Linked DNA regions of Danio rerio. The protein of the gene in region 1 purifies or fractionates together with the protein of each later gene. This does not show direct contact. Links are inferred from orthologs where the notes say so. Each region holds a gene or a part of one and is shown on either strand. Other genes may lie near its edges. The genes, in order: lamtor5 and slc38a9.

Evidence for each region.
Region 2: the proteins of lamtor5 (region 1) and slc38a9 purify together in Homo sapiens (co-immunoprecipitation; 5 studies listed by BioGRID and IntAct, with this or other methods). This does not show direct contact. The link is inferred for Danio rerio from reciprocal best matches to the Homo sapiens genes LAMTOR5 and SLC38A9.

What each region holds. Positions count from the first base shown.
Region 1 is NC_133183.1:26,632,245-26,643,514, reverse strand, and holds lamtor5 (ragulator complex protein LAMTOR5), read right to left. Parts: upstream 7,145-11,270; 5' UTR 7,019-7,144; coding exon 6,984-7,018; intron 6,894-6,983; coding exon 6,832-6,893; intron 6,206-6,831; coding exon 6,088-6,205; intron 3,646-6,087; coding exon 3,585-3,645; 3' UTR 3,065-3,584; downstream 1-3,064. UniProt on the Homo sapiens protein: As part of the Ragulator complex it is involved in amino acid sensing and activation of mTORC1, a signaling complex promoting cell growth in response to growth factors, energy levels, and amino acids.
Region 2 is NC_133185.1:7,422,139-7,432,943, reverse strand, and holds part of slc38a9 (neutral amino acid transporter 9), read right to left. Parts: intron 10,526-10,805; coding exon 10,396-10,525; intron 8,061-10,395; coding exon 7,942-8,060; intron 6,861-7,941; coding exon 6,797-6,860; intron 6,706-6,796; coding exon 6,612-6,705; intron 4,602-6,611; coding exon 4,431-4,601; intron 4,306-4,430; coding exon 4,249-4,305; intron 1-4,248.

The DNA.
Region 1 (11,270 bases):
CAGTCTGGAGAACAAACTGTTGCATAATGATGACGTATATAAACCATAGGAATTAGGAAATCTGTAAAAATTCAATATTGCCTATTTCACTCACACGTGTACATAATTGTGCCTTTTATATTTAGTGTAATTACTCAAAACATACAGTATTACTTCAAGTGTTAGTTTGCAGTTGTGTATACATCATTATGTGCTCAAGACTGTGTGCTGAGGCTCTGAATAAAAGGTAATGCAATCAATGTTTTGTCAGTACCTTACAATTCCATACACTTTTGTATTTTTTAAATACTTATACCTTTGGGGTACAAATGTGTACCTTTTGAAAAGATGCCCCAGAGACTACACAATTATTTATTTTGTTTTGACTGTTTTAAACTAATAAAGCGCTAATAGCCCGTTGGCATTTTATGAGTCAACAAGTACCCCAGTTTCAGCTAAAAATTGTCCATGATGTCTTGGACAAACTGATGATAGACTAACAAGAAATGTAGCCTATACATTCTGTGTGATCAATCCCTTTAATCAGTCATATTAGCTCAATTCTTGTGAGAACTGCATTTTAAATCATCAAATTTAAATGATGACTAAGCAAATACAGCCTTGTTATTGTGACATTATACAGTGAAAGGAAATCTTTTGACCTTTTCATTGATTCACTGTAATGTTTTCTGAGCACACATTCACAGAAATTCATTTCCACACACCAGTTTCTTCAAATCATTTAGATTGTACCAAACAACAGTCTAACATAGCATGTCTTAACTGAGAAAGTGTCTTCATTTGTAAATGATTACTCTCTTACCATACATTAGCCACTGTCTGTCACAAATAAAAGACTCCATTACTCTAAAAACTTTTATCTGCACCGGCGTTTGTGTGGGTTTGCGGTGTTGAAATTGGGAACGCACCGTTCAGGACATCCCACAACGTGCTCTTTCCTCCCCATCCTCAACTCAACCAACCTAAACACGCGACAATTAGCCGTGCGGTTGTGTCGTTAAACGTCTAAAACTCAGGCTTAGTTCGTAATCCAATATCACGACACAAAAAAGTGGGGAAAATTACTAGGGTGCTGCACTTATGCACTTACCCAAACGCCAGAGCCGATGCTGTCGCGCGCTGTCAGCCCAGCAGCCGCATAGCGCTCGTGTGTGGATCTCGCGACCCCAGCGGCGTTCATGTGAATGCGCGCTACTGGAATGCAGCACTTTACACCTATCAATAACAGTCGACAGAAAAACACCGTCAATTAAAGCTCTTGTATTACCTGATTCGTGTTTTGAAGTGTAACCGGTTTTATTTTTCTGTTAAGTTCTGTTTGGGTGAAACATAAAGAAAACTTTAATCGTATTTAAAAGCTTCCATCTAGCCTACACGTTGTTGCATGTCATTGAATTAAACTAAACTATTAAAAAGCATTACAAACAACACACTTTTCAAGCTTACTGTGATTCAGCTATTAAACTAGTTTTAAAAGTAAACACATCTGACAGGCTAGTAAATAAGCAGAATACAAATTTAATTCACACAAAAGTTTCAAAGAACTGTTATCTTGAGAAAGCAGTGATTAATCGATATATTTATTTTATTTAACTTCAACTTCAAGCTTTTAAAAGTTTAAACTTTGTTTTTGTCATCCATTTTCCAACAATTATTTTTTAAATCAGCTTTTAAAATTAACATCCAACAAAAAAAAAAACAGTAGTTTGTGAAAGAAATGACAAGCTTAGTCTGGAAAAAATAATATAAGCTACAAAATTAATACTACAACGCAAAATTGTCTGCAAACGAGCAAATTAATTATGTAAATATTCGAACATTTCATAAACGTAAACATTAGGGTGGAGACGAGACTTACCATATTTCTCGAAACACTAAAAGTCAAGTCAGTTTATTCCAGATTTCACTTGTTAAGACTTGATTTGGTGTGGATGATTCCTCATGCGCGCTCCGGCACTTGAGCTGCGGGCAACATCCTTGGATTTCCCGATGACAGCTCCTCCTCTGAGGCGGCAAGTCTTATCAAAGTCATTCGTGAACATGGCTGGACTCCCTGCGTTTGATTTCTTATGTTTTCTGAAAATTTGGCCCCCAGTCTGAGTGTCTCGGGGGGGTCACTTCAGACCCCTGGGACCGGCACAGATTGGATGCAATGCGCTCAGGTTGTGCAGAGCCAACGACCTGCCGCTAGTGCACTTATTGACCATGTGACCGGAACCTACAAGCCAAGTATTGAAGTGGAACTAATTTCAGAGGTTTTCCTGGACTGTGGCTATTCGAAAGAGGTAAAAAGCACCAAGCTTTGTTGCTTCAAGGTCAAATTATGAATGTTTAGGTATTCAGGTAGTATCTCTAATGTTTGACAAATCCCTAAAGGCACTAATAAAAACGTGTGTTTTAATTAAAGTGCACACAAACTGCACTCGTTTTGCTTGAGGAAAAAACTAATCGACTGTTTAGAGCTGCTATTCATAAATTTTGTAAGCTTGAACATTTGTTAATGGCATTTCAATATGCAAAAATATCAAGTTAAACATTTACTACAATGGTGATTATGTTGCATCCCCATGCTCTCAGTACTATTTTGGTACTTTATTTTTACACATTCAGATCATACAAAACATTTCAATGCATTCAAGATACAATATATCAAAATAATTGAGGGGGAAACAATTTCTTCTTTTGGCATTCATGCTGCGTACTTGGTGTAATTTTTGGAAAAATTAAGACTTGGTTGATTAACTATATTGACCCTAGAGTGAAAATGATGAACCTTTTACAGTCAAGATCTGAGCTAAGGTATTTTGCTGTTAACTGTTATCCAGAGTCATCACATGCATTCAGAAGAACACTTTATGACAGGTCTGAGTGACTGATAAAAAATTCAGGAACCCCGAGTTCCCTCAAATTTTCCTCATATGCTTTATTGCAGAACGAGTTATCCAAGGCAAACAAGTGACACACACAAAAATAATTGCCTGCATCTATTTGCACACAACAAACCAATGCAATCTAAAATATAATACAATATAAATATAATATAATTTGAATTTGTTATTCATTAAAAAAAATTGCTTTACTAGTTTACATTACACAGCTTTTATTATTGGTAGTTACTGACCAAGATGATGATGATAATTAATTTGAAGGGTTGATCTGTCTCGACATTTGATTTTTAATTGTTATTCATGTATATAAACTGTTACTCACCATAGATACTCTTAAAGGTGATTCAATTACAATTGCTGCCCCCTTTTGAACACACTGTGTTACTTCAACTAAAACTCTCTTAACTGTGCAACCACAGAGACTCAACCACGTGAATTTCCTTAATGCATTTATTCACTGTTTGAACAAAAAAGCAGTGAAGACATTTAAAGTGTGCTTTATGGTTGAAAGAAAGTAATAATATAGGAAAATAAATTAGATTAAACACTGACAACAAACATCTGACGATTTCTGATATGATGGAAGACAAGATTTCACACACCCATAGAGCTTCTATGTTTCGACAATTGACAGCAGAAGCTTATCAAACGCATACTAATGATCTTTAAAATTGAAAAAACTTAGACCAACAGATTTCACGATGCCATCTTATGCACAGCCAGTGTAATTGTTCCATGTCTTCTCACCAAGATGTTCCTGCAATGACAGAATGACATAGAATTCCCATTTAATACTTAAGATTAAAATTAGCTGCTGTTTGATTTGAGATTATCACCTGGTTAGCAAAACTACAATTAAAACACATCTTGAGATACCAAAAGCATTCACTACACAGTGAAGCCTGTCAGAATGCATTTAGATTGACTCAATATGCTGTTATGAAAGCCAAAAATATTGTTCTGTTTTTTTTTATTATAACAAACGAGTTGCTTGGGTAATAGCACACAAGTCACAGTGCCATTTACCTAAATGTCAGTGCATAGGCATGATCACAAATAGATATTGATTTTTGTGTACAAAGCTAAAATTAAGTTACATTTCAGACATAACATAATACTGCCTGCTTTTCTTGCCCTTTCACCAGCAAAAGTAGTTATATACAAAGCCAGAGCAAAACAGAGGGGTATTCCAGAAAGCAAGGCTAACTTACAATCACATATACCCAGAACTCTAAATAGATAAGGGGAGTGCGGGGCACAAAGTAACGTGGGGTAAAATGTAACAATTTTAAGGTTTTTGCTCAGGGTTAACCATGGCATGCTTCCAAAATTTTCACCACAGCGTCGGCAGACATCTTCCTGCCAATTATTGAAAAAGTTTGTTGAAAATTGGACGAGAAACACAGAAACCATTTTTCCAGCAGTTTGCAGTATTTTTTATTACAGCAAATTTGTTTTACTTAAAAAAACATCTGTGAAAGCATGTACGAAAAAATCTTATATTGCTGTGATTACCATCTTCTAGGCTAAAAGATGAAACCATTTTGAAAGATGTAAAAAGACAGTGACTGCTAGTCAGTTTTGAAGAAAACACGACACAGCAGGGTTAGTTGTAACAGGGTGTTACAATTAAGCCACACACTGTTGGACACCAATTAAACTAACTGAATATTTTTATTTTTTATTTTTGATAATGTAATGTTGAGAACTTTTTAAATAAACATGATTTTTTTATAGAAAATATATATTTTTTAATAGAAAAAATTAGTTTTATTGCTAATAATGCAAATAAACGCATTTTATAATAATGCAAAAAAAAAATCCAAATGTGTTCATTAAGTGGATAAATAAGTAAATAAACATGCTGTGCTATGTATAACACAAAATAAATTGAGCCAAGTACTGAGGAAATATAGCTACTATTTAAAGTAAACAGAAATTAAATTAACTGTGTGGAATCTGCCTTTGTAAGCATGCGTTACAACTTACCCTCTGTTTGTTACAACGTGCCCCACTGCTGGGGCAAATAGTAACATTTTTGCTCCTGGCACTTTTGGCAATACTGCACAGAAACTGTAGGAGACAGTTTGTGTGTTGTTGGTACAAAAAATGGTTTGTCTAAGCCCATTACTTTGTTCATTATTTGGCCAAAACCAAAAAGTGTTACTTTGTGCCCTGCTCTTCCCTATCCCAGGTCAGACGGTGCTTACTCCAGGTATATCAGTTTCTAAAAATCACAGCTGGTGGCAAGTTCAGTCAACTTAAGAATCTGCCAACCATAAACACACAAGACATTCTCAAAAGAATAGCAATTCCACAAGTCATGGGTGAGAAATTAATGCTAAAAAAAAAAAAAAAAAGAGCGCCTTTTATTTTTTCGTTGTTCTTGTTTAATGGCAAGTTACATTCTTTTAGCATATTGCCAACAAATTTGTGGCTGTGCAGACATTTTTAAAACCGTTTAGTTAAATGTTCAATCTTTATTAACTACTGTGTACAGGAATTATAATGTTAAAATCAATTGATTTACTTTGTTTAAACCCATCCGCATTAACTTTAAAAAAAGATGAATTACATCTATTAATTAGTAATACATATGCCATGCATTATATTGAAATGGTTCCATTGCTTTCATTACTTTTGATTGAATATCCATAATGATAGTGGCAAAAAATTAACCATTACTTAAAAACATTTACTTGATAATAGTGCTTTTTTTAAAATAATAAACCCCCAAAAACTCATAAGAAATCATATGCCTCTCTATAATTATATCCATACTACAAATATCAATGATTCAATGAATCACTCATTAAGACTTGCCGCCATCTATTGGTGGTTTTGAGTGATATTGATCCAAGACAGTTCTAAAGCAACCAAATGACCAGCACAAAATATTAATCCTTGATGAATTAAAATGAATGGAATACTTTCTGAGAAAGTCACACGCCAATTTGATAGTTTCAATACTTATTACACGTCACTATATATACACTTTAGTGACAACTGGTGTGTGTGGAAGAGGGAAGGTATAATGGGATGAATGACTTTCAAAGATTGTTGTTTAACTGACTTTCCCTCATTTAACTTTCTTAATTAATGTCATCGATTTCTGCAGATTGTTTTGTTGTCTCTCAAATCAAAAAATTCTCAAGATACATAGAAATAAGACAGATGCTGGTCAAGAAGCTTTCCTTACCCACAGTCAGACTCCAGGCACACTGTAGGACAGTCGGTGGCATCTTTGGTTAGAGAAGCAGCCTGCTTGGCCAGTACAGATACAACTCCTCCATGTTCATCAGATAGTGAGCCCCGGCCTGGAGATTAAAATATTTGTAATGTCATTGAGAATTACAGTATATTTTCAAGTTCTGGAAACCAAATGGAAAAGAGTCAACTGAGAATCTATATAAAGCACAATTCTATAACCCTATATTTTGTTGAAAAGTTTTAAATTGTATATTGTTTTGCACATGGTAATACACTGAAAAAGCAGGCTTAAAATGCTCAAGTTGAATTAATTTATCAGATTAATATTTTTAATACTACACATGCCATTATAGATTTTACTACTCAAACTATATCTATACATCATTTAATTTTACTTTACATTTTTTTTGCATAATTACATTTGAATAGGCTTGTATTTTCTCCCAGTTAACCATGTTTTTTTGTTTACCATTGTTTCAGTTAACTTTAAGTTGGTCAATAACACAGTTATAAAGTTGTCCACAGTAGACACCCGTTCCCTGTTTTGAGAAACAAATCAAACTAATAAAAATTCAAAACGTTTTACATACCTTCAACACATGTGTAAATATTAAAAGCAATATTAACCTCTTGTTGCAAGTGAAAACCCAGTACATGTAAACCAAGCAAATCATGGTCACCAGAGGAAAACTATACTAAGGGAAGTATTAAGGAAAATATAAAAATTACTTACACCCTAGATTATGTCCTTGAGCGTCTGTGCACAAAACCCCAACAATAGCTGGATTTTTCATCCTAGAGTGAGAAAGGAGATCAGTAAATGAAGACGCAAAACGAGTAACGTTACATGCGTAAGAAAAGAAAGTGGTTTCTTTTTAAACATACGTATCGTCAAGATGCTGCTCCAGTGCACCCTCCATAACAGCGTCCTAAATAAGGCTATTAAACTAATAAGAAACACGAAATGTTCAGAAACTGGCAGCGATGTTTGTTACTTGGATAACTTCCGGGATGTCAGCTGACAGTTTAACACGCGACTTAACACTACGGCGCCCTCTAAGGGACAACAAGCAAATAGGATCTAGCGCCATCTTACTCAAGTCAGGATGGTAGGTAAATGGTCCTCTTTTGTTTGCTGCTAAACCTCGACAAGTAGTCAGTCATACAATATAATTTTTTGGGTTAAACATTTTAATTAAACTAAAATGAACACACAAGACATTCTCAAAAGAATACCAATTATACCACAAGTCCCACAGGAGAAATAAATGCTAAGTAGAAGAGTGACTATTTCTGAACCAAAATGAAAAGCTTGAATTTATTAATATGCAGCTGTTGGAATAAATGAATGTTCCTGCAGCACTGCTATTGACTGATCACCTATAATTCAGAGTCTAGATCTTCTATATCCTCGTTTTTATGTTGAACAAATAATAAATTCTTTACAAACCATTCAATGCTCTAAAAAGCAAGTAGGCTACATGTGGTTAACATTTAGCTGGCATTGTCAATGAGAACTCCCAGAGGAACGTGTGAATCTTCGGTGTTGGTATCTCTCTAAATGACCTTGTCCCCTGACCAGACGCACAATAAAAGACCACCGTCAATTGTGTCTGAGCTCAAGCTCTTTATCAGACAGTCTTTTCCATTTTTAACTCAAGATATTGAAGCACTCTCTTTTATAGTTTGTGAGGTTGGTTTAAGAGCCGGGTTTGACATGAGACACATTTTTTCTCTGTCACATCCATTAACTATATGTTTGCTTAACTATATGCGAAGCATATTATAAAATATACTATTACACAAGTTGTGCAAAGTGCAAAGCATGAATCAGGTTAGCAAAGTCAATATACATGCAAATAAGCTGGCAGAATAATAGCTGCCTGTTTCTGCCTCTCTAGAGCCCATCAGAACAGTTTAATCTTTCCTGACTGGATGCAGCCTTATATTTGATGAATATCATTTTTATAGGGTTAATTTAATTCCTTAACTTCTGTCTATTGATGATCGATTTATTTTTATAAATATAGTTTCATTACAATATTATTATTTTTGCGTGTGGGTATATATATACATTTAAATATATATGGATTTTTAGACTACTGATTTTTGTGCAGTTTAAGTCTTTTAATAAGATATTTTGCTTAATTTATTTTACAGTTTTCCTTGGATTGCTTTCATGCAGCCGTCAACTGAAACTCCACATTTTTAAAACAGTTAAAACACAGGCCTAAACAGCGGCACTCATGGTCAAAATAACACATTTTGGTTGCAAAATGCACATGCCGTGTCAAAACATTTAAAATATGCAACAAAAGCTATTTTAACCTTCAAACAACACAACTTGCTAACAAGTATATGAGCTCTTTCAATTAACCATTACACAATGAACAACAAAATACAAAATACAGACCTCAGTGTGAATCAGTGCACCATTGCTTGCCATTGTAACCTATTGCCAATGCCATTTGTTGTCTTTTTATTTGGGCTGCCTTTTTGCAAAGAATTGGATCCAGAATAAGAAATGCCTTTATTAAATTTATGTTGAATTCATGACATTTTTTCAAACTGTGGCTTAAAACTGAAATACTGTTAAAAAAACAGACAAAAGTAATAAAATACTGTAAATATTAGAGAAAACATGTAAACCAATATACAGTCAAATCTATTGTGAGTAGGACATAGCCACTATTGACCTCCTCCATCCATGCAGGCACAGAACAACACAGACCTTCTACCATTTTTAATGTTTGCAGACTGATTGCTAAATGAAGATTTGTGTGAAGGTGTGTCAAACCGGTGCTTTCAGTGAATTCATACTGATCTTGGTAGTTTCTAATGGTTAGGAATAGATGGTTTCTGTTTGGTTACCATAGCTAAAACAATGGAGTTTGGAATGCTTGAATGACATCCGTGTTAACTTTTTTGAAAAATGGTGCGGAAAATGTGTCAACCCAATGAGAAAGGGTTTAAACATTTGCAAGACCTGTCTTCTGCACTTGCTGGGATAGTGATAATGATAATGAAAATGAAGTAGAACCTAGTTTCTTTAACCAGGTCAAAGCAAACAAGAAAAACTGTAATTGAAAATGTTTTTAAAAATACTGTATATACATATATTGGATCATTTTTTTCAAGCATCTACATGAGAACAAATATTATCTATAGAGCTGTAAAAAGGTTTTGTGTCTCTCTGACACACACAGTAACACATAGGCTCTTGATATTGGTGGAGACGTACATCCCTAGAGCCAATGTATTAAACAGCACAAATTCTGTTTCATGCTTTTAAAAACATTTAAACACCTAATAATACAAATAACAATAATAATAATTCTATGCTGCAAAAGTCAATTGACATGATTTTACTGTAATCTGGTTTGAGGAGGTATGAATGTACAGAAATTTAGAGAGGCATGTGACAAAATGTAACAATTTTATTCCTATTATCTGTATGAATTTAACTCTTTAAGCACATTTAGGTTACTAAGGCTTGACAGAGCATTATTTTATTTTGAAGGCTATTAAATTATTGGTGGGGACATTTCAGTAATTGGTGAGGCAATGTCCCCTCTGTCCATGCCAATTCTACGCTCTTGATAGTTGGACAGACCAGTATTATGCGCACAAATTGAACTTTTTCCTTTTAGTTCTGAAGATGTGTTTGAATAAATAAAGTATTGAATAAAATGATAATTATGATATAAAGGCTAATATATATATTATTCTTTTATTTGAAATTTATTGCATGTGGAGTCATTGTTTCAGTCAAACAACTCTATTATATCTACCAATAGTGGAGTTTACTGCAGTTTATACTATTTCTATACTTTATTTTTTATGTTAATTATGAAGTCAATTATTAAGTGAATATAAAGCCATATATCATCATTTCATTTTACATAAAAGACATGCTCTGATTGATTTCATTTCATTATTTTCATCTTTTGGCTCAGTTTTCGTACTGCATTTGTTATGAAGTTACGTTTAACAGCTTTCAAGCTCTTTTAGCCAACTTAGGTTCTTTGCTCATGGCAAGGCTTGATGATTTCTGCCCAGTCCTGTGCAGTTAGAGCCAAGCTGGTTTGCTGACAAGGCAAAAAGTTGCAATGTAATTATGTGGCCCAGGCGTCAGTGAGATCAATCACTTTCACTGCAGCCGAGTAATGCTCTGCTGACTAACCAATGGCATTTTCATGCTCCCGCTAAACGTAAATCAAATCCCAACAGCTAGGACTGACATTCACCAGTCTGCTATCCCTCACACCAATTGCCTTCAAGTTGGATATTTTATTTAGCTATAATTTCAAGTAAGCTCATTGATTCTGTATAGCTGTGTTTCATCACGTAGCTCACGTATCCCAGAGCTTTAATGGTCAGCAGTTCAAATGGGCCACATCCACGTTTATTTTTTTGTTTTCTGATCAGTGGTCAGAAATTATATAGTGATAAATTATTTTATTTGCCATTCATTATGAATTTGTTAGTGTGTTAATGTTATTTTTAAGCTAGTATGCTCCAAAACAAAATTAATATTTCCATTTCCATAAGTATATGCATTCAAAAATGAGTCTCTGGATTTATGCACATCCCTCGTACTTCAGCTTTACATCAGATTTCTAATCAAATGGTCTAGTTGCGACTGAAACTGGTTTCTTGTTTAAACATATTAATCTTGTGTCATTGCTGAAAAGTCTCAACCAAACAGTGTATGATTGTGGATTCAAATGATTTAGTCAGAGCAAGTCTCTAGTTTATGCGAATGATTTGAAAATGTACCTAAACTGTGGCAAAATCGAAAAGGAGTACTTAATACTTTTAATTGAGAGATATTTTCTAAAGATATCTGTACCTTTACTCAAGTACTTCACATATGTACTTGTCTTGCAGTGGTGGAAAGAGTACTAAAAAATCATCAAACTCAAGTAAAAGTACCATTACTTGCATAAAAATATAGTTCAAGTAGAGTAAAAGCATCTGTTGTAAATATTACTCAAAGTATGAGTGAAAAGCCCTTTCAAAAGTACTCAAGAGTAGTGAGTAGTGAGTTTTACACTGTAAAAGGTTGATGCGTTTACATGTAATTTGTAGATGTGTGTAAACGTAACATTCTGTAGTGCATTAAGTGATTGCCCAGCAAGCACACAACGTCATAAGACATTAATATTAGGT
Region 2 (10,805 bases), on another chromosome or scaffold:
ATCAATTTAATATGCATTTTTAGTGATCCAACCACTAGTAGTGGTCAACAAAGACACATTGTAAAAAGATCAAAGTCACTGTTACTGTAAAAATAAAAGCTTTTTACTTGGTTTTAACCAAGCTGGTCTTCATTTGGTCAAACAAGACATCAGAGAGGTTAAAGGGCTTAGGACTATTCAATTGGCGGCCCGCGGGGCGAACCAGGCCCCAATTTGTTCCGGCCCTCCAAACAGTGTGTCCAAGACATCAAAAATAAATTTATTTCAGTCGAAATACAGCCGCTACAGTTATGAAGTGACGTGCGTCTGTTCAATACAGCACAAGCTCCAGTTGAAAACATAGGGATCCAACAATTAGCCGATTTTATTATTAACTGCGCTTTAATTCGTCACAGTTAATTAATCGTAAAGTCTTCTCTAAGGGCCTACTCGCACTATGCCATCTGTACTGTGCCCAGGCCAGTTTCCCAGATCGTTTGAGAAGTGTGAGTGCGCTGAATCGGGCTCAGGCATGGTTCACTTGGCCGGCCCTGGCCCGGTTGGAAGAGGTGGGCCTGAGCGCGGTTCACTTGGGCCAAAGCCCGAAACTGAAAGCGAGACGTGACTTTTAAGAGGCTGTTTCATATGGATTTATGAAACATTCTTACTGTTCAGTGAACACAAACTGCCGTAGATTATTAAAGACGCAAACTCCTCACTGCACGACAGCTGCGCGCCTTCAGCAGACCTCCTCCTGCAGCACGAGAGCATTATGATTATGAGTGCCAAAAGTGGCGGATCTATTCGGCGAAATATCTGACTGCATGTGACCGCATCCCTAAGGACTGTTTGGCGAAATATTTGACTGCATGTCACTGCATAACAAACCACTGAAATTATTTAACTAGAGAAATCTCCACTGTGCTGCTGACTGAGAGCGCTTCTCACTGAACAGCGCAGTAGCGGGACAAGCATGCTTTGGCCCGGTTCGAGGCAACTGTACGTAGTGTGAGTATGGCCTAAGCCACTTTTCTGTTGCAGGGTAAAAAACTGCTGCAATTAAACAAAAGTTATGCCAAGTTGCCAACTGGTGCGCTAGTTTGAAGTTCCAATAACAATGAGGCTAATACACACGCACACCGGATTAACTATAGCAGTGGCCGTTCCCATATCACGTCTTTTCTGCTTGGAAGTGTGTTATTTCTAAAATAATGTATGCGTGATCAAGCAGAGCAATGCGCTTGCATCTTTCCGGGTGCACGCAGTAGAAAACATCTCATGGTGAGAGTTGTGCGTGCCTTTCAGTGCAATGTAAACAAAAGATATATTTGACGAATTATTATTAAAATGATATGCATGAACGCAGATGGCAACAACAGTTAATCTAAATAGCTACTTACCCAATATAAAACTTGAATTTACATTATACGTGATAACCATGAAACCATAATTATTCTTCAGAATATATAATTGTACAACCAAATCTATAATTGTTGCATCCCTAATTGTTATGCAGTTCAAAAAAATAAAATATGAATGTGTCTGAATGTAGAAGAAGCCTATGATGCGCTGATTTAGTTGTGCTCTGAAATACAACATTAGAATGTTTGTAAAAAAAAAAAAAAAAAAAAGGAAAAAAAAAAGTCTATTGTACAATGCACTGATATTATGTAGTTTCAAAATACAACATACAACATATTAACGTTTCAATGTAGAAAAATACAATATGGGTGTCTTAAGGAAAAATACAGCATATGGGCTCTTATATGCTGTTGTGTTATCACTCATATAGCAAGTCATATCTCTCCGGCCCTTCGTTTGGGATGCTTTTCATGAACCGGCGCCCATGAAAAACCAATTGAATAGCCCTGAGTGTGTCTGAAATCGCATACTTCCATATTAAAATACATTAAAAACTATGCACATTAAAAGAATATGCAAGCTGAGTAGTATGTCGAAATATATAGTTTTCAAAAAAACTGTTTGTGAGAAGTACCCGGATGACCTACTACTTCCGGTTAGATTCTGAAGTATGCATCTAATGGATGCTACGCTACTCCAGTTTCATCATTTCACCAACATCACACCTGAAACCATTAATTAACCTAATCAATTAATCAACCAATAAAATGCTAAATAAAACATAATATATAAATATATAATAAATATAAAAATTTCAAATCTAATTTCTAATTTAAACCTTTTGATGACAGTAAAGTATAAATGTAAAACGCTTCCCTTTGAAATCGAAGTATCAATATCAACACCTCTTCTAGTTCTAGTCTTGTGCTTTAACACACTCAATACCAATATAATGCGGAGTCAATATATTATGTTTAACAGCATTGAAGGAAGCAGCAATGGGATTTCTTTGGCAATTGAGCAGTGTTATTTGGGTGTTCTGCAATACAAGTTTTTAGACAATGCTTTGTTTTACCTATGTTGTATGTGCAAAGCCACAGGGGCATTTAAACAAAAAATTACATTTTGGTGTTAAGAAAAATAATACTTTATTTTTTCCCTAAGCAAAGATGTCTGAAAGTCTGACATTTTATTGTAAATTACATTACAGGCGTTGACGGTATCTATACTTACCCTCAGAATTTCGTTGAGTCCCTGCTATGTTTAATCGTATGTGCATGTGTTTTTAAGGCCTGTGACTGAGCATTTCAACAGAGTATAAAACATTTGAGCACAAAAAACTATAATGTGATAAAACTAAGATTAATAGCATTTTATTATTTAAACAGAATTTATCAAATTTATTAAGAAAAAAATTCATATTTTAGTCTTGTTCCCAGTCCAAATATTTACATTTCAAAATGAGAACAAAATATTTTACTTGCCCCATTCCTTAAAATAAGCTAAATGATCTCATTTAGCTTATTTTAAGGGAATAAAAACTCTTAATTTTGACTTATTTCTTCTGAAAGTGAAAACAAACTAATATTTTTACTTGATTCAAGAATTTGAGCTATTTAGACTAGAAACGAGACGATGCAAAGAAAAGCATTTTTTTGCATTTTGATTATTTAACCCTAAAGAGTTTAATTGGTGCCACTCTAATTTTCAGTTCTTTCATAGATAACAGGAAATCACCAAATTGCTTTAATAAGTTTTGTTTTTTATTTGACCGTGCACAGCAGCTTTATAACAGAACCCTAAAATGTATTTAGTATAATAAAACAGTGCAGCTTCTTGTCCACGTGATCATGAACAGAAGAACTGAAAACAGTAAATAGTGTCATAATAAAAGCTTCACTGCTTTCGTTCTGCGTCACGCTCATCTGTTAGCTCCAATTCCTTCAGCACTCTTGTTTCAATTTAATTTATCATCTACTTTATACTACCATGACAGTCTGAAAGATACAGTAAGTTTTCAATACTTCAGCATATCCATGAACACGACTTCTGCAGGACTTCAAATGGACTTAATAAAGATGGCAACTCCCATGATTTCACCAATGGTTCTTTTGGCTATAATTTGTATAATTTATGAAATATTCTGTCATATTTTTCTTTAATTGAGATACACTGTATACTATTAATATTTGTTTCTGTCTTTTCGTTTTACAGCATAAAGCCTGGTTTATACTTCTGCGTCAAGTGACCGGCGTGACCCACGGCGCATACAACGCGCGTAGCTGAGCGTTTATACTTCTGCGCGCTGTCTCTGTTGGTCTACATTAACACTTCCGAAACACTAGTTGGCAGTGAGGTGTAAATGTTCCTCTGTGTCGAGTTTCTTCTCTGATGTTTTGCTTTTCTTGAACACTTCCTGGATGCACAAGTGGCTCAAACTCGCTCATTTTGAGGCAGGAAGCGGCGGACGTGCAACAACTTTAACTATGATATAAACACAAAACAAAACTTTCCATCCGGAGCTCCTTCACGGAACTCCACACTTGTAAACAATTTCTCCATCAGGGTCGCGCCATTCGCGCGACTCTCGGTCCCGCCCAGACTCATCAGCGCTACCAAGCCGACCAATCACAGAGCTTACACTACGCCTCGTTGCGATGTGTAATTACACTTTTTGAAAGGTGCACGTCAGCGACGCCAACGGCCACGGCGTAGGGCTATGCATTAACGCCGTAGCATACACGTGCTCTTGATGCAGAAGTATAAATCAGCCTCAAGTCAGAGCAATTAATAAATCAAGCCATTTGGATTGTGTTGAGTATCTTTGACCATGTAATGTAAATGATTATGCTTACAACTTCAGACTATTTTATACTAATAATGATAATAATAATAATGACTGCTCACCTCTCTCAGTTCCATTTGTGCCAAATGCATCTGATGTGTTGACATTGTGAACATAGTCTGTAAATGCAAAATATATAAAAGGTTATTCAGAAAAACAATTAAAAGGTTATTCAGAAAAACAATATTAGAATTCTAATTGGCAGTAAAACAAATGAGAAAGGGCAGGAAAAACAGTCACGTACTGAAAATGAATTTTCCCGTATTGAACAGGAAGTTAGACATGAGCACCCAGTAGACCACCATTGCACCAATCAGTGACACCAACGAGAAGACGAGACTGGACCATTTTCCGAAACCCCCAAAGTAATATTTACACACATCAGGAAACTCCCAGTCTGAGGTATCTACATAAGCTGCAAAGACACAGAGTTTCATATTTAAAAAAAACTTCATGTTAACTCTGGCATGACATATGAAAAAAAGACAAGCAAAAATGACATACAGTTAAAGTCAGAATTATAAGCCCCCTTTGAATTTTTTATTTTATTTTTTTGCTTTTTTAAATATTTCCCAAATTATGTTTAACAGAGCAAAGACATTTTCACAATTTTTCTGATAATATTTTTTTCTTCTAAAAAAAGTATTATTTGGTTTATTTTGGCTAGAATAAAAGCAGCTGTAAATTTTTTAAAAACAATTGTAAAGTCAATATTATTAGCCCCATTAAGCAATATATTTTTTCGATAGTCAACAGAACAAACCATCATTATAAAATAACTTGCTTAATTACCCTAACCTGTCTAGTTAACCTAATTAACCTAGTTAAGCCTTTAAATGTCACTTTAAGCTGTATAGAAGTGTCTTGAAAAATATCTAGTCAAATATTATTTACTGTCATCATGGCAAAGATAAAATAAATCAGTTATAAGAAATGAGTTATTAAAACTATTATGTGTAGAAAAGTGCTGAAGGAATCTCTTCGTTAAACAGAAATTGAGGATAAAATAAACAGGGGGGAGGCTTATAAATCTGTTTTAACAGTATGTTAATGTGTGTGTACAGTTAAAGTAAAACAAAAAAAATAGAGAGAGAGAGAGAGAGAGAGAGACATTGTTTGTTGTGTCTTTATAGATACATTAGTAGAATTGGTAAAATTGATTATGATGACTCTGTTAACATTTATTTTTAAGCATAAGCTTCATAGAAAAAACTTTAAACAGGTTTAAAACCGGTTTCTTTCCTTTGATCATGTTGATTATTCAGAGGCCTTAGAAATGTCCTTATCAAATCAGATAAAGTAGAAAGGATTGCAGAGGTAAACAAACCCCTCAAGAGTAATACACAACCACAATAGAGTGGAGGAACTATGACGTCAATTTGTAGGCAAAAATCCGGAAGCGAGTTAGCATTCTAGCAGTTCTGGTTGCCTCGTCCCAAAGTCGATGTTTTTTTTTTTCAATGGGATTTTGATTAAAAATCTCTTAAATGAGGTTGGTGGCTAACACAAACTTAAGATACTTTCACATTTTATTCTACGACATAACACATCAGTTGCATCACAGTCTTGATTTATTTATTTATTTATTTTTAAATCGGGACGCTTCTTTAAAAAGACGGTTGTTATCAAGTTGTGAAATGGGACTTCAGGAGATGTTGGAGACATTATACACTATTGAGCTGAACTGGTCTGAAACGCAGCCCGCTTGCATTAGACAATTGCATTTGTTTTGTTTCTTTAATGAATAGTTTGTAGTATTTTTCTTATTGGGAATTCACTTGTAGAGACCGTCACGTCAGATTCATTTGTTGATCATTTATTTTAATTAAACAATTTTATTAAGATACTGCTTACAGGGCAGCTTGTCTCTTTTCTGCTCTGATTAATGCAAATGTGTGAATAAATTAGTAAACATACACACATATTACCTGTCATTTTAACGTGATCAAGTGATTTTTCGAAGTTTTTTTCTTCATCTAAACACATTTAACTCTGTCATAACTGTAATATTTACACTCCTCCTTAACACGTATAAAAGATGTGACTGTATGGGCTGCTTTTCACTGTACTTTGTGACAAAAAATATTAAATGTGGTTCTGTGTCCATGATGGAACTTGCAGGCATATAGACTTATCCCTCACGACTCATAAGCTGGTCTTACTAAAGACGACAGAAATGTGTAAATGACATTTGTTTGACTTAAAAAAAAAAAGTAAGAAGAAACACTGGATTTGAACCTGGGTCACACTGTTCATCTAACAAAACAATACTATCTCCGTCAAAAAAAACAAAACAAAAAATAAAAATAAATAAATATCAGCTAAACTGGGAATGTTAACATTATAAATGAACGTGTTTAAGAGCTACACTGAATCACTCATGTATTGTGCGAAAAATGTACAAGCATGGTTGCAATTGGCTTACGAATTGATTTTGTGGACTTCAACACTCTGTAGCAGCAATAGAGCGTCAACAGGCCCATAAGAACAATAATGATAATGCCCAATGTAAAACCAGCCTAGAAAGAGAACAAATAAATTATAATAAATTACCTTTATTGTATAACTGGCAATGACCAAAGGAAATATAGGAGAGAAATATACACCTACTTGTTTTATTCCCCATGGTATACTTAATATAGATGTTCCCATCATGGTGTTCCATATGGCAAAGCTGTATACACACACAAGCACTCATTTAAACAAAGGTTTAATAACTTTAACATGGAAATGACAAATGCAATCTCTCTTGACTAAATAATTTGTAGGATTTAAAATTATGTAACACTTTGAAGAAAAAAAAATTATATATATATATAGGCGAGGCAGTGGCCCAGGGATGCTCATAATAACAGATTCATCATTAAACAAAAAGGTGCCTTTTGAATCCATAAATGAAATCAGTTAAACGATTAAAAAATAATTATATAAATATATACACATACACACACACACACACACACACACACACACACACACACACACACACACACACACACACACACACACACACACACACACACACACACACGCATACATACAGGGTGGGCCATTTATATGGATACACATATAAATAAGGAATAACATAAACTGGGAATGATTGCTGTTATTAACATCCTGTTTGTGGCACATTAGTACATGTGAGGGGGCAAACTTTTCATGATGGATGGTGACCATGGTGACCATTTTGAAGTCGGCCATCTTGGATCCAATTTTTGTTTTTTCAATAGGAAAAAAACTTTTTATTAATTTTCTTTATCCATATAAATGGCCCATATAACGTGTGTGTGTGTGCGTGTGTGTGTGTGTGTGTGTGTGTGTGTGTGTATGTATGTATATAAATTAAGTCATACTTTATTTTAAAGGTTAAATTCTCACTGTTACCAAAGCATTAACAGTTTTTGCCTGAAACTCCTAATCTGCTGCTTATTAACAGGTATTGGGTTTAAGTATTGGGTAGGAATAATATTATGCAGAATATGTTTTACAACTACAAATAAACAGCCAATATTAAAATAATAGGAAGATAATACGCCCATTATTAAAGCTTGACTTATTTCTTCTAAGCAAGTCAAATAAACATGAATGACATTTTACAAATTGCAGCAAAATGGTTACAAGTTGCCATAAGATCGTGTTGGGAACATCATCACATCAATCTACAAACTTTTCATACTGACTATATTTTCACACATGCAGACTAGAAAGCTTTAATTTTGCATTTCAGTCTAAAACTGCTCTGAGGGTGGTCTTACATTGTGACAATGCTGGGGTTTTTGATAGGGCTGTCTCCTCCCTGCACTTTGAACGCTGTTCCCAGCGGACTGTAGATATAGATATCCTCATGAGAAGGAATCACGTGGTCTGGAGGTGCCTGCAGAGATAAGGTGCATAAGCAAATCCGTTACATCACAGAGCCTATAATACTCTATTGGACTAGATCATAAACTTCACAAGTCCCTAAACAAATAATGCATTGTGCTGAATGATTGACAAAAAGCAGAATTTATGCTTGAAGACCATGTTAATCTGCATTTAAAAGCGCATCCTCCACAAACCAAACAGTGCAGAAGAAAAAAGGAATCAAAGCCATGGACTAACTTAATTACACACAGATACAAACAGTAGAAATCACTGTTAAATGGCATTATAAGAGATTTTCATCCTCGACTTTCAGCCCTCAAACAGCAGAATGATCTCACAATCAGCTAATTTTGGCTTCAGAATAATTGCCATATGAATAATCAAAACAACTAACAAATGAATCATATCCTTGTGTTCCTCATTATTTTGTGTGTGTAATCGTTTGCTCACTCTCGTGTCATTCCACCTGTACTTAGAACCTGTAGTTCATGCTTCAAATAAAATACATAGTTCTGTATGTTTGGAAAGAGTGTTTAAAAATCAACAAATACACTAAAAACTGAAAAATGTTTCATGGGAAAAAAAGAATAAAAAATTGTCAAAGTGACCCTGTCGTCATACACTCATAAAACGAAAAAAAAAAAGTGTATTTTGCACACTAGGCTAATAGCTGTCAATATGAAGTAAAGGAAGTCTACAAATCTGTGTATGCCTGAGGATTGGGGAAAAAATAGCATTGATTCTGAGATTTTCAAAAATCCATCACTTTTCTTACTTGTGTCTCATATCAATAGGCTACTTTTCAACAACAACAACAACAACAACAATATGGACCTCTAGACTAGTTTTTAAACAACAGATGGTACTCTATGCTGGTTTTAAAAGCAGATGGCGCACTAGGCTAGTTTTTGAACAGACGACAGTGCTCTAGGCTAGTTTTTAAAAGTAGATGGAGCTCTAGGTTTGTTTTTAATAGCAGATGATGCTCTAGGACTGTTTTTAACAGCAGATGGGCTCTAGGCTTGTTTTTTTACAGCAGATGGGGCTCTAGATTCGTTTTAAACAGTAGACAGCACTCTAGGATTGTCTTTAACAGCAGATGACGCTCTAGGAATATTTTAACAGCAGATGGCACTCTTAAGCTAGTTTAACAGCAGATGGCACTCTAGGTTCATTTTTAACAGCAGACGCCACTCTAAGCTAGTTTTTGACAGCAGATGAAGCTCTAGGCTAGTTTTTTAACAGCTGATGGTGCTCTAGAATTGTTTTTAACTGCAGACGGTGCTCTAGGCTAGTTTTAAACAGCAGAAGACTCTCTAGACTAGTTTTTAACAGCAGATGGCGCTCTAGGCTAGCTTTTAAACAGATACGCTCTAGGCTAGTTTTAAACAGCAGACGACGCTCTAGACTAGTTTTTAACAGCAGATGCGCTCTAGGCAAGTTTTTAACAGCAGATGGCGCTCTAGGCTAGTTTTTAAACAGCAGATGGCGCTCTAGGCTAGTTTTTAAACAGCAGATACGCTCTAGGCTATTTTAAACAGGAGATGCACTCTAGGCTAGTTTTAAAACAGCAGATGGCGCTCTAGGCTAGTTTTTAAACAGCAGATGGCGCTCTAGGCTAGTTTTTAAACAGCAGATACGCTCTAGGCTATTTTAAACAGGAGATGCGCTCTAGGCTATTTTAAACAGGAGATGCCCTCTAGGCTAGATTTTAACAGTCGACGGCGCTCTAGGCTAGTTTTTAAACAGCAGATGCCGCTCTAGGCTATTTTAAACAGCAGATACGCTCTAGGCTATTTTAAACAGGAGATGCGCTCTAGGCTATTTTAAACAGGAGATGCCCTCTAGGCTAGATTTTAACAGTCGACGGCGCTCTAGGCTAGTTTTTAAACAGCAGATGCCGCTCTAGGCTATTTTAAACAGCAGATACGCTCTAGGCTATTTTAAACAGGAGATGCGCTCTAGGCTAGTTTTTAACAGTCGACGGCGCTCTAGGCTAGTTTTAAATCAATGCAGCCTCAATTAACCCAGGGTTTAGGATTGTGTAGTGTGAAACCTCTGCAAATGAATAAACAGGATTAAATGTATATAGTACATTATAAATCAGGAGTCATTTTATCGAGAATAAGGTTTGACCCTGGGTTAATTATTTAAAGTGTAAAAACTCCTAATATACTATTAAAACTTGACACGTTTAATGACTGCACTCATCTACAACCAACAACAGCCTTAATAATCCACTCACTCAAGTTTCCATGTTCATTTGTCTTCACACAGTACAGTACTGCAGATTTAAAACAAGTATTGGCATCTGTATTGGATAGTAATGCAGACAGCAGACCCACCAGTAGTCTGTCTGAAGAGCCTGTCAGACGGCTGTAGTAATGAACTCTGCTGCTTAGCACCGCAGCTTCAGCTGACACTCTCTCCTGAACATCTTCCCCTACTATATTTCTGGGCTCCACATGGAACGGCCTGAAAGACACATAAGTCAGCACCCATCAATAGGGCTATGCAATATGACAATATACATTGCATAGACAAAATAAAAAGTCTGTCTTTTCATATTATGCCCTACCCTCTATATTGTGGTGTCTCAAAATACTTGTTTACAGTAATACTTTTTCATAATTTACATGAATGCAATATCACACAACATTAAAGGGATGCAGACAGAAACATGAATAACATTGTGAGATCTGATATGTAGTGGGTAAATTCGCCCAGCCCTACTCATAAACATTACTCTGTAGTT